3 linked regions of the Coturnix japonica genome follow. The protein of the gene in region 2 binds, or shares a complex with, the protein of the main gene of each other region. Links are inferred from orthologs where the notes say so. Each region holds a gene or a part of one and is shown on either strand. Other genes may lie near its edges.

Region 1 (4,357 bases), on a different chromosome or scaffold from region 2:
ATCAGGGCCTGCAGAACAAAAAGCAAAGGCAAAGTTCTCAGCAGCTCCGTTCTGGCTGTCTGGTTTTGAGCAGAGATTCCATGTTGACAAGTGGCTTTAGGTTTTAGGAGGCAAAGCTCTGTGTGTGTGCAGAGAAATGGCTCTGAAGACCAAGCAACAGGAGGTCAGGTCACATCAGACTGAAAGTTACATACTTGCTTCTGATGTTGGAGCCTCTGATGTAGCTGCTGCCCAGAGGAAATAAAGGAAATCAAAATCCAAGTGTTCAGAAGGGAATATGGTTCAGAATGGCCAAAATAATCATAAATTGGGGCTGTTTTCAGAAGCGTTGCAAGCAAACTTCATCCATTTATTCTGAACCAGTTCAGAGATGGGCATCACTCAAAAATCAGACCTTCACAATCTCAAAACAGAAACTCTTGGCTGGGCAGGAGGGTGGAGGGGACCAACCCCTACCACTAATCCAAGAGGGGAAGTTCCAACTTCCAAACCAGTCACTATGTTTGCAAACCATACACCAAAACCTCCATGCCAGGGTGAAACCCATCTCCACGCTTGCAGAGCTACGTATAGAGATGAAGTAATAGAAACTAAGGTCAAAAGGAAAAAAAAGAAAATCAAACTTCCACAAGGATAATCTCCATGCAATGAACCACAGCACCACAGCCTGCAAACGCCACTTACTTTTCTCCTAGAGTCACCCGGAGGCTGCTCTGGAGTAAAGAAATTCATTGTTCACCAAGTTGTGTTCAACAGACACCCATCCAAAATATAGTTGGAACATAAGGATGAGAACTCAGTACATAACCCCACACTTATCGACACCAAAGAGCTACAAATATATATCCTTATACAAATATTTCACTTACAGATAAGGCTGCTGCATTACAAGTAATCAAACAGTGGCACAAGAATGAAAATCAAAGGGATTCAGTAGGGCTGCTGTTTACGTTCAACATAAAAGCAAACTGATAGATAAGGAATGACACACAAACTTAGCCTGAATACAGAATAATCTGGTGTTTAGTTATTTGAAGCAGAAGCTTGAAGATCTCTCTCTCTCTATATATATATATATCTTTCCTATACTAAGTCACTGATCAACATTTCTGCATCCTAGTAGAATATAGCAGACCAGAAACCAATCAGCTCCCATACAGACAATGCTGGGGAGCCATCAGAACAGTTTCAGACTCATTCTTACTCCATTTATCTTCTCAATAACAGTTTCAGACTCATTCTTACTCCATTCACCTTCTCAATAACAGTTTCAGACTCATTCTTACTCCATTTACCTTCTCAAATCTCTCTTTCTTTTCTTTCACCCAACAAAACCAGACTGCAGTGCCTGAAAACAGAACTGCCATCAGTGTGGAATTGATTTCCAAATGACTTGTTGGGTGCATCTGTGTTAACTCTGCATTGCTAGTCAGCCTGAATAACCAGATTTGGTGCTACAGATGGATGTATCCATCTCTTTTATTACTAGATAGATATCTTCTACAAAATTAACAGGCTACAATAAGGCTTCAATAAGGCATTTCTATCAAGGTCACTTAACGAGAGCAAAACTTACCTCCAAATAGTTCGAACTCCCTTAAGCCCTCAACAATGAACTTTTCGGACACCCACCGCTAAGAGAAAAGAAATCCCCCAATAAGGAGTTACTTCCTTTAAGGACAAACCACCCCCCTTTCCTCCCACACCCCTAAAAGCAGAATCATAACACAGCGTTATCGTGTCTATAACCCATCAGTTACAACCACCTCATAGACAAGGATATTATTTGTTTGCCATTAGGATGGCACACATGCAGCATGCACACTGCATCTCCTGAATGGCATGCACTTACAGTAAGGTTCATTGTGCATTATTCAAACAGGAGCTTTCACACGTGCACAAAGAGCAAAAAGAACAAGCATGCAATGCTCCCTTATACAAAGATATAAACGTTTGGGTGCATAAATCAGTGCTTTGACATAGAGACAACACCTTGGAGGACGTGAAGCATTTGGGCTACGTGCTATTTAGGTGCAGAATTAAAACAGCATTGCAATAAGTGTTGTTCTCTTGCAGAATTCATGCTTGAATGTCAGAGCCAGCACTGTTTGTGCAGCGCTATTTGACTCCGTGATCCAAAGAGCAGCAGAACAGATAAAGCAGCTTCAGGCTCGCAGTGCTGTTAGCACGAAGCAAATCACCAACAGCCCCGTGTTACAACGTGGCAATAAAACAACGGATAAACCAGCCAGAGGCGTTGAATGCAAGCAAAAGGGCGGCCCTGGAAAGCACCGCTGGGTGGGTGACAGTGCCCGTCCATCACAGTGATCGCAGCCGCTGCTGTCAGTCGTTCCAAGTGCTTTTCTCCCGTGACACCGATCGCTTTGACGCTTTATAACGCAAAAATGAGCAGCGCCCCGTTTGGAACCCGTTGGGTTCGGGGAGACACACATGTTACTATAGAGGCGGTACCGGGCCGGGCCCAGCTCCCCTCGTTCGCACCGTGACTTTAAGGCGGCTCTTATTGCGGCTCCCGTGACCCACAACACGGTGCTTTCCATCCGGCCCCCAACAGGCCGCGGCCCGGTTTACCGGCTAGAGGGAGCTGGACGCCGTTTAACACTCACCCTAATCCGTTCGGGTTTACTTACAAGAAAAGACATGGACTCCGCGATAGCGCTACCTCACTCAATGAAGGGCAGGCAACCTAAAGGATGACAGCGGTCGGTTGGCCCGGTCCGGCCCGGTCCGGCCCGGTTCCCCCCTCAGCCCTCACCCTCACCCTCTCCTCAGGCTGCGGCCTACTCGCACCGGTAGAGACGCTGCGTGTGACGTCAGCACGCCTCCACGTGACTCACGACGACGCGGCGCACACGTTTGACGTCATCTCGCAAGCCCGCGCTCACGCACGAGAAAGGCGGGAAGCAGAGGGCGCCGCCATGTTGGATCTCCTCAGGGAGTGGCTGAGGTCTCTCAGCCCGTAAGCAGCGCAGAACGGCGGCTGCCTTCGCTCCAAGAGGAAAAGCCTCCATCTATACCATCTCCAGCTGGTGATGAGAGATCCATCTCTGGCTGCAGGCCCTTACTCCATTCCCACCTCTCACCCGACAGGCTAATTCACATCACTGTCCTCAGGCCACTGCTGAGGTCATGTTAAGTTGTAATGCCTATAAAATGCTGAGGAAGTTGTAGTGACTGGGAAAAAAAAACTGCTCTTCAACACAAAATATGCCTTGAGCCCTCCCCAGGGCACCTGAGATACTTATATACCATTAGCTGAGAGGAACATGGAGTCCAAAGCAAAGACGACAGGTAGAGTGTTTCAATGATCCTTTACTCTTCATTAGGTAGTTCATTGAATGTTCGTATTACAAAATTAGCTGCCGTGGGACTGAGGGAAAGCTGTCCGCTTCAAGAGAGCACGAACCAATATTTCTTCTCAAAGAAATTGTTGAAACACGATCATATTAAATCTTTAAAGCTAAATAGTGCTAAAATCTCACATAATCTACATCGGTTTTGGTTTTAAATTAACTTTTACCAACCATTATAAAATTTCACATATTTGCATGGATCAGGTTACAGACTTTTGCATTTAAATCCACGTGAAGTACCCCACGCTGGAACAAGAGCTTGAAGCAAGTGCTGTTTCAACAGCAGCTCATTCTTATTGCCTAAGAACAAAGTTTGTACAAATCATTGTACAAGGAAATGCAAGACACTGTTTTCCCCACAGAACTGTAAAAAGTCTGTCACAGCAACAATATCGTCACACCTTCTGGACTAGAAGCATTTATAAAATGCACAGCTCTCTCAATGAAGTGCTTGCACAAGGGCATTCACTTCCCCCCACACACACTCATACTCTTATCAGACAAGACAAGATGTCCACTGGAACGTTTTTACTTTCTTGGGGAAATTGGCAATTGCAGATACTCCACTGAATCGAGCTTCTTGCTGAAGTGAATGAGGCAGCAGCTGCTAAGACCAGGAGAAATGTTCTTGAGGCAAGTTTTTACAGTTAAAATATTCCAGGGAGGCTACTTGAAGCTGCTTAACTCACCATGCGCTCCTAAAGAACCACCATGCTGACATTTTACACTGTATTAAGGTCGTAGCATTCAAAACCACAAGTAGGAAACGACACTCACACACTCCACTCCCGTTCCATCTAACCATCTATGTTACCTATCATGCCTACAGGTGAACCGGTACCTTATTTGTAAAGAAAAAGAAATATAACTCTTGTTCTACTGGGCTTAAATCCCTGAAGTATCCATATTGTGTATGGAAGGCTTTATGTTTTGTGCCTTTAAAAGCCTGATGCAAATAAACGCACAGTAAATGCTTGTTGTGC
Region 2 (3,557 bases):
CAGCCTGTCCTTTATCGGAGTATAACAAAAATCGTAACTGGTTCAGAGCAAAGAGCTGTAAATTCCCTCTTTGTTTTCTTCCATTTAATCAATGTTTAACAACTTGAAAGCCCCATCCATACCTTTTCTGCCTTCTTGTCAGATATATCCTGCTTTTCTAGAACTGCCATACTTTCCTTCAGGTTCTTCACTATGTCTGCAGGAGACTTGTGGGATTTGCCAAAAGGGAACGGCATGGTTGCGAGCCACCAGGTCTTCCTTCTACAGCTCCTGCTTCACCTGGAAAAGGAGGGAGAAAAAGGCATGTCATAAATAGATGCATGAGGCCACTGTAACAACACACATGAAGAGAACTCAGCAAAGGATTTATGTATGGAATAACCACCCTTGACAGTTAAACTAGAGTCTGCCATTGCAAATCTACATGCTAACTGTGCTTCTGATTCCAAAATATAGAAATTAATTATTACTCACATTAAAATAATTACTTTATGTCACAGGAAGAAATTGAAGAGTACATTAACCATATCCAAAGCCACACATGGTACAAGAGCCCCATGCAGGGGAGACTAACACATATAAGTTGTTGTAATCAATGTCATCAAGCAAAATATGTTTTTATATTAGGTTTTTGACACAAAGCATTGTGCCTCAGCTGCACTGCAATGACTGTCCAGGTACATACTTTCATCCATACTCATTCCACAACAAAAGCAAAGCTGACAGCAAGGCCTACTTAGTGCAGGAGCTAAGAGCTCAGTGCAGGTGAGCCTGCAGGCAGCAGCTCACACATAGCTCACAACACTTGCTATACCCTGATTTTCTCGTGCCTATATTGATGTAATTTCATTCTGAAATACTGCCTCTCCCTGACTCGTTTCATGGGAAGCTAACTTTGTCATCACCAGCAAGGGCTTAAAGAAGGCACAAGGAAATATTAAAACTAAACATCTAATCCACCTTTTTCAAATGTAATGGTAGCAATTGTCCTTCACTATAATACTTGGCTTCTGCAACCAAGTACATTTGTTCCTCTGTATATTTACATATATACATATATATTCACTTCTGTGTACAAAATAGACAAATATTATTAATATAAATCAGCGTACAAAAGCTTTTGTTACTGAACACATATGCTTCCACTTTAACAACAATAAAAACTTCTTACAAATGAAAGCACTTCTAGAACTCTAATCTAGACAGTGAAGAACAGGAAATCCTGCATTCAAAATGTTGCCAGCGCTGCTCGGGCTGGACGCAAATGCCAGTCAGAGCTGACAGAGAACAGATAAGTGTCGTAACAAAGAAGGAATATTAGCCTGAAATGATGAAGTTCTGCACTCAGACAACACCAGCAAGGTTATTAGCGAGCCAATCATAACCTTGAAGTTTCTTATCTAACACCAAGTACTTTGATCCTTGATTCAAATATTGGCTCATTTGCTGTGAACTTTATTAAACCTGATCCGCTCCAATCATGTTACACGAGAATTAAAAAGATTGATTTTACACTACTCCTGAGTTATGCCGATTTTTAACGCAAGCAATTTGGGCTGGCCCAAGGACGGCAGTTAAAAGATGAAGGACAGAAGTAACCCAACCCTTTGCCAAGAAAGCATCCATAAAAACCTGCATCAGGAAAGCAGTTGCACAGATGTTGCCTTCACCATTTCACACCTGCCACCGGCTGACAAAAGGTCTAAGTTGGGTTGTTTTTAAATGGGAATACTTGCAGATGAAAGGAAAAAATAACAGCATGAAGGTAGCTGCAAGATCCATCCACCAAATACTTCCAGTCTTCTCCAGATCACAGATACCTGCTGTGCTCTCAGCAGTAACAACAGGTTGTAAAAACAAAACTACAAACACCGGACAGATTCCTTAGGAGATATAAACCAACCACACATCACTCCTTAGGCAAGAGGATTTTATGCCTCAACTTTATCACATGTGAATGGAAGAACAGTAATTCCTTGGTCACAACTACATCGCTTCTAATCTAAAAGTCAACATGGATGACAGACGTAACATACTAAGAACAACAGCAAATATCTATTCTTAAGATCTGCCCAGTGTCTAGGCTTGCAAAATGGGACTTCCCTCCAGAGACTGCTTAACTGCTTCTTCAAATTAAAAATAGCCCTGCACTGACTTATGAAATGTACCAGCGTCGGCATAAATCGTATGCACGAGACATAAACAACTTTATCCACTAGCAGATCTATCAGAAGATAATCGATTAATAATAGCAGACGTTTATACTAAGCATTGTTCCCAAATTAGGTATGTTTCTGAATAATTTCTCATAAGCAATTTAGAAAACAAGGCAAAGAAGAAAGCAATCCACGCCCTCCATTACCAATGGTGGCATTCTGCTTCAAGGTATTTAATTTATTGCAGATAACAGAATAAATAGTATTTCTATTCCACTTGTATTACCAGAGGGAATGCGGCAGCACTGTCAGAAACATCCTCTGAGGCCTCAAGACTGAAGATCCAGCCAACCCTGCAGCAAAACTCTACTGACAGACCTGTGTCCATCCTGCCAAGAAAAGCCAGGCAACCTCTTGTCTCACAGAGATGTGCTTAATGCGGATCTGAGAACACACACCAGCTGTTCCCTCCTCAGCCCAGCAAAGCCACACCAACACCCTGCAACAATAGACAATGCCAATATCTGTGTGAGATCAGAAGGAGCTGCCACCACCCACATCTGCAGAGTGAAAAAAAAAGGAAACAACATCAAATGACACTTTCTGTGAATAACTGAAGAACAGACCTCACACCATGTCACATGGTAATTGCTTCACATCCCCAGCACCTGGATTTCCTGTGAACTCCTTACAAAGTTTTAATTGTAGCTTTACAAAGGTGCTCCAAAAGCTGCAGCAAGTCCATGGATGGCTCGGTGCTCTGCCGGGCTCCTTTGCTTTCCCTCACCTTCCCAGAGCTCCCTGCCTTCAGCTGTTTGTTGGAAGGGACCATGGGCAGGATTTTACAAGTCCCTGGACTCCTCAGGCATGCCTTTCATTTCACCAATATTCAAAACATAGATGCAGTAGCCCAGAGTCTTTTCTCTTTCAGTTGGGATCTTTCTCTTATGTGAAGAGTAAGAAACCATGCTGCCCATATAATAGTACAAATGTTACAATACAGGCCATGGTTACTCGGCAGTGGGAACCTTTGGTTTTGCTTTAAATGAAGCATGCTGTAAGAAGCACGCACTCCTGTTTCTAATTAAGCTCCTTGTTAGGTCATGGAGCCCAGAACTGCACAGTACACTGCAGGGGAGGCCACACCAACACCTCTGCAGGATGGCTGGCCGTGTCATGCTTAATGCCTTCTAACATGCATGCTGCCTTCTTGGTCTTTCAGCCAATGCTACCCAAGTGCTGTACAGAAAAATCTCCTTGCCCACGTTGTGAAACAGCCAGGTATGCTAACCTTAATTTCTTGTTCTATTTTAGGGCTCACAGTATTACATGGTATTACTCTTGCTTCCCTTAAAATAGACTGTGGTACATTAAGTGTTCAGCTAGAGCCTGCTGCTTTGT
Region 3 (4,321 bases), on a different chromosome or scaffold from region 2:
TCAGAACCAGCACCATAGTCCTGACATCAACATCCCCCCTCGTGTTTGGAAGTATTTCTTCACTACCAGGAGAAAAAAGTGAAGTCCCAATAAATAAGAAACAATCTCCCTCTTCACAGCAGAGCTCTGGATAGAAGGAAAGGGGCAGGGATGGAACAAGGCGCCCATACCTGTACCAGAAAAACAAGAAACATTTCATTACACATTAACCAGCAGTTCACTCTTATTCTGAACTCGAGCCAGCAAAGGGAGGTCCCGGCGCTGAGCCCTGTGCCTGTTCTGTCACTATGCCTGTCACTGAAGGTTAGAAGGCAAACTCCAGGAGCTGACACAAGGTACAGGACGTGAAGTATCTCACAGCTGAGCTCACGAACTCAAACCAAACTGAGAAACAGAAACAAGACTCTGCTGGGTCAGAGCCCTGCGCTCAGCACGTCGCAGCACAAGAGTCCTCTAAACACCCCCCCCAAGTCCTCCCTCCTGCTATGAGATAAGCCTGTACAAACCATTGCGGCTGCAGGAGGCTCTCCCCTCCCAGCAGATAAACAGCCATCTCTCAGGGCTGTAATAAACAGCTTGCTGTGGGAAACAGGCTGCGAGGAGGTCTTCGTGTGCAGGGCACAATGCTGCTGAAAGGGAAAGTTCCACCTAACGAGTCCTGCAAATGAAGCATAACACCAGGCTTCTCCCCACAGAATGTTTTAATTAGTTACTTGTGCCCTGACTAATCAGTATGTAACTGGCACTTGGAAAACCTTCCAAGCACAGATCTTGAGTCACTGAAAAGAGGTTGACAAGCCTTGTCTCTATTTTACAGCTGCAGAAACGAACTGAAAAGAGCATTGAATCGCTTCCTAAACTCATTAGCCAGAAGAGAACCCAAGAATAAAAAGCCAAGGCTTGGTATGCCCACAATGCATGGGATCGCATCCCAGCACTGACGTGGGTGGCAGCAATCAGTGTGTGAAGAGTTGGAGAGCACAGCCCCTCCTGGGCACACAGACACTGCCCAGTGCTACTGCACTCCCATTCAGTGCAAGGAGCTGCCCCCAGGACAAGGTTAGGAGCCCTCAGCCACACAGCTGAGGAAGGAGGACATTCCTTAATACCTACACCTTATGATGAAACATTTCCAAAACATAAAGCTACGTATATATTTACTCACTTTTTCACATTTGCCTCCCCGTTGGGAATCCGGCGTAGCTTCTTCTTCTTCAGAATTTTCACAGCTCTCCTACAGAGGGTTTCAGAGTCCAGCATCTCCTTGACTTTGCCATAAGATCCTTCTCCAAGCAAGTCTCCCATCAAGTACTTGCCAATGAGCTTGGCCCTTTTCCGCCGTGGTTGGTAGATGACTTCAGTCGAGTCGATGCGATGGATAAAAGTGTCCATCCCCACAGACATCAGCTCACTCTCTCCAAACATACCCAGCTGCTGAGGCTCCTGCATATCCATCCTGGATTAAGTTCTTTAACCTGTCTTCCTTAAGCTCCCAGGGTTTTAATCCTGTTTGTTTGTTTTCCAACACTCCCTTTTACTCCTTCTCGAAAAAAAAACATCCAGAAGATTGTACAAACATTAATTAAAAAACAAAAAACAAAGCCAAAAACAACAGAACAAAACGAACTATGAGCCGCTTCCAGCTCAATTGGATGCTAAAAGATCCAGGTCTGCTCCAGTAACGGGTCTCTTAAGAAGAATATATAGCTCTGATCAGACACAATCAGGTTGGGACTCGCTTTGCTCCTGGCCTGGTCCCACCACTAGGGTTCTTTCAAGTCACTTCGGCCTTTGGCTTGGCCCAGTTTGTGAAGGTAAGTGCTAGGTCATCCTGGGGGACCTCAGACCATCACATAAAACAAACCACAGCCAAGTCTCGTTCGTGGCTTTCCATTCCCAGTAAATCACAGGCACCAGCTCCCAGCAGGACGGCGGGGGAAAGCGCTCCTGCCCTGCAGCCTTCACCTTCCAAGCACTAGAGCAGACGTTGGGGGCTTTTTTTTCAGCCGTTTGGAAGCTGGAACCAAGTTTCTTTGAAAGAGTTTTCAGCGACAATTCTAATTTCTTCGCTTTTCACGCCTACAAAAGTTTGAGGCCTTCGGTGCCTATTGAGATCTCCCAGGGGCATCCTTCAGCCACCTGGATTGCGCCTGGCACATGATGTGTCACCGCTGCTGCTGCTCCCAGGGTCAGCGGGTGTTGGACAACCAAACCCCACCGGCAGCCAGCCAAACCCCAGAGCTGCACAGACACAACAGGGAGCACAACAACTCAAGAAGCGACACCCCCCTGTGCCAGCCGCCCCCTGCACCCCATTCCCTACTCAAAGGAAGGAAGTGAAGGAAGGGGAACCGACACTTCACGGGTCAACCCTACAGGTGTCAGCCGGGCCGGAGGTAACAGCACGGACACGGGGATGGAGAGAGGTGACAACAGAAGGCTCCAAACGCTGCTGGGCCGCGAGGACGCTACCGGTACCACCACCGGGCTCCGTGAGCTGGGAGGGGCCCACGACAGGCCCTTCCCCGTGCACCGGCACCGCTGTGTCAGCGTTAGGCCCCGCCAACACAGGGAAGGCAGCGGGGCGGCCTATAGGCCTCGTCCTCCCTCCCCGCTACCGGGCCTCAAACCGGGCCGGGCCCCGGCTCCACTCTCCCTTAGGCGTCCAATCGTCTCACAGCGATCCCCACCGGATACCGTCCCCGCTCTGCCCCCTACGGACTCGCCTCGGGGCCCACTCCAGCCGAACCGCGCCCCTTTATCCCCTTTAACCCCGTTACCCCCTTCTCCGCCGCCGCCGCATCGCGCACGCCGCCGCCATTTTGTTTACCTCCCGCCCCCGCCCGGCCCCGCCGCGATCCCGCCGTTGCCCCCCCCCCGGGCCGTGCGCCTCCCTGGCGACCAACGTCCTCTCCCATTGGCTACCGAGCCGGCCCCGCCTCCGCGAGCTCGCCTTCTGATTGGCTACAATCATGCCACGAGAAGGCGGGGCCGGTTAGGAGGCTTTCGCTTCCGGTTGGTTCACAACCCGCCCTTTCACTCGGGGTGTGGGACGGAGCGTCGTGATAGGCTGAGAGAGCTGTCAGTCATAGGGGGCGAAGGGTGAAGGGGAAGTGGTTGCTATGGCCTGTTCAGTCGGGCCGGGCGGGGCCTGCTGTACGGCCCGGCCTTAAAGGTGCTTAATGGGGCCCTATGGGCTGCTCAGCGCAGTGAGGAGCCCAGCAGCCATCAGGCTGAACGTTCTCTGTGCTCTTGGACGTTAATGATGGTAAACGACTCGGTGCTGCCTTTACCTATAGGGTAACACATATATAGGGTACCTATAGGCCTACAGAGGTGAAATGAGGCCTGTATTAGGCTGGAAGGCAGCAGCTGCTTTCTGCTCTGCATTGTGTGCTATAAACCTCTGCTTCTGACCAGGAATAAAGGCAGGAGAGGCTTGAATGAGTCACAAGAGGCTCATGGTTCTCTGCTGCCCATCCTCGTGTTCATGGCAGTGTCCTCCATTCCACACAGCAGCTGGGAAGGACCCAGCTATTGAGCCTCCCACCCCGCCAGACCCTGCAGTTACCACAGGTACGTCCTCACAAACTGACATTCTCAAACCAGAGGTGCTGGTAGTGCTGCAGTCACTCTGCAGGGTCTGCAGGGTCTGTCATCCTGACCTTTTGGCTGTTTTCTGTCTCACAAAGGTGTTGTTGCTGTCTTTCTCCTTGCTGGATCCTCGCAGAAGCGTCTCAAGAAACACCACAGAGCAGCAAGAGCTGCCACCTCCTGGCCGAGTGCACAGCAGAGCTCATAGTCCTGCAGGGCCCCCGTGTGTTCCAGCTTCATTCTCATGCCCATGACCCTGCAGTGTCCCTGCTCTGGAGCTCCTCACATCCACAACCTTGCAGAGCTTGCCTTCAATCAGCTGCTCCCAGAGGCTGTGTCCTTGGGTATGGCATCACCTCCAGCTGTTGGCTTCTGCTTTTGGACGATGTTAGAATAAAACGGTTGAAAACATTAGGAAAAGCTTTTCCAATATGACCCACACGGTGGTTTCCTTGAGATTCCTGTTCATTGGAAGAAGTTGAGATTTTTGTTCTTTTGACTTTTGCACTAAGGGGTGTTTTAATCCCTTCTCCTGGAAGTGATTAAGCTCTGTGGGAATCTCTACTTTTATTTAAAGAGTAAGAGCAGCCCGCCAGCATACAGGGCCATACACACAAGTGAACACCAGCAGAACAAAGAGGGAAACCAGCACTGGGCTCCATGAACCCCTCTCCATCTCTGGGCAGCAGGAGCTCAGGGCTGAGGACACCAGACTGAGAATGGATCA

Evidence for each region. Proteins that work in one complex are often made in the same cells at the same time.
Region 1: the proteins of CAB39 (region 2) and STRADA are in contact, whole or in part, in a crystal structure (PDB 3GNI), measured with the Homo sapiens proteins. The link is inferred for Coturnix japonica from reciprocal best matches to the Homo sapiens genes CAB39 and STRADA. Residues at the interface, in NP_001124321.1 of Homo sapiens: Leu26, Glu27, Lys28, Gln29, Tyr55, Gly56, Thr57, Asn58, Ala85, Asp86, Gln88, Leu89, Phe92, Glu93, Lys96, Arg107, Glu138, Leu141, Ile145, Ser176, Thr177, Phe178, Asp179, Ser182, Asp183, Glu221, Asn222, Tyr223, Val224, Arg227; in NP_001003787.1 of Homo sapiens: Pro64, Leu104, Glu105, Cys107, Ser108, Asn109, Val112, Gln116, Leu119, His120, Lys123, Leu124, Phe125, Asn126, Thr136, Phe137, Ile138, Asp140, Asn141, Leu143, Tyr185, Met189, His223, Gly224, Arg226, Val426, Asp427, Asp428, Trp429, Glu430.
Region 3: the proteins of CAB39 (region 2) and STK11 are in contact, whole or in part, in a crystal structure (PDB 2WTK), measured with the Homo sapiens proteins. The link is inferred for Coturnix japonica from reciprocal best matches to the Homo sapiens genes CAB39 and STK11. Residues at the interface, in NP_001124321.1 of Homo sapiens: Gln109, Gly111, Thr112, Lys196, Leu197, Leu238, Asp239, Arg240, His241, Phe243, Met246, Ile250, Val280, Ala283, Asn284, Pro285, Glu317, Gln318; in NP_000446.1 of Homo sapiens: Gln100, Arg103, Arg104, Glu165, His168, Ser169, Gly171, Leu201, His202, Pro203, Phe204, Ala205, Ala206, Asp207, Asp208, Phe234, Arg301, Ser307, Arg310, Lys311, Lys312.

What each region holds. Positions count from the first base shown.
Region 1 is NC_029542.1:2,243,581-2,247,937, forward strand, and holds the start of STRADA (STE20-related kinase adapter protein alpha), read right to left. Parts: upstream 2,816-4,357; 5' UTR 2,783-2,815; exon of another isoform or gene 2,708-2,782; 5' UTR 2,664-2,707; coding exon 2,628-2,663; exon of another isoform or gene 2,077-2,627; intron 1,635-2,076; coding exon 1,577-1,634; intron 1,349-1,576; coding exon 1,296-1,348; intron 714-1,295; coding exon of another isoform or gene 685-713; intron 1-684. UniProt on the Homo sapiens protein: Pseudokinase which, in complex with CAB39/MO25 (CAB39/MO25alpha or CAB39L/MO25beta), binds to and activates STK11/LKB1.
Region 2 is NC_029524.1:4,200,474-4,204,030, forward strand, and holds part of CAB39 (calcium-binding protein 39), read right to left. Parts: intron 2,604-3,557; exon of another isoform or gene 2,443-2,603; intron 280-2,442; 5' UTR 237-279; coding exon 123-236; intron 1-122. UniProt on the Homo sapiens protein: Component of a complex that binds and activates STK11/LKB1. In the complex, required to stabilize the interaction between CAB39/MO25 (CAB39/MO25alpha or CAB39L/MO25beta) and STK11/LKB1.
Region 3 is NC_029543.1:2,065,023-2,069,343, reverse strand, and holds the start of STK11 (serine/threonine-protein kinase STK11), read right to left. Parts: upstream 2,816-4,321; 5' UTR 1,456-2,815; coding exon 1,166-1,455; intron 1-1,165. UniProt on the Homo sapiens protein: Tumor suppressor serine/threonine-protein kinase that controls the activity of AMP-activated protein kinase (AMPK) family members, thereby playing a role in various processes such as cell metabolism, cell polarity, apoptosis and DNA damage response.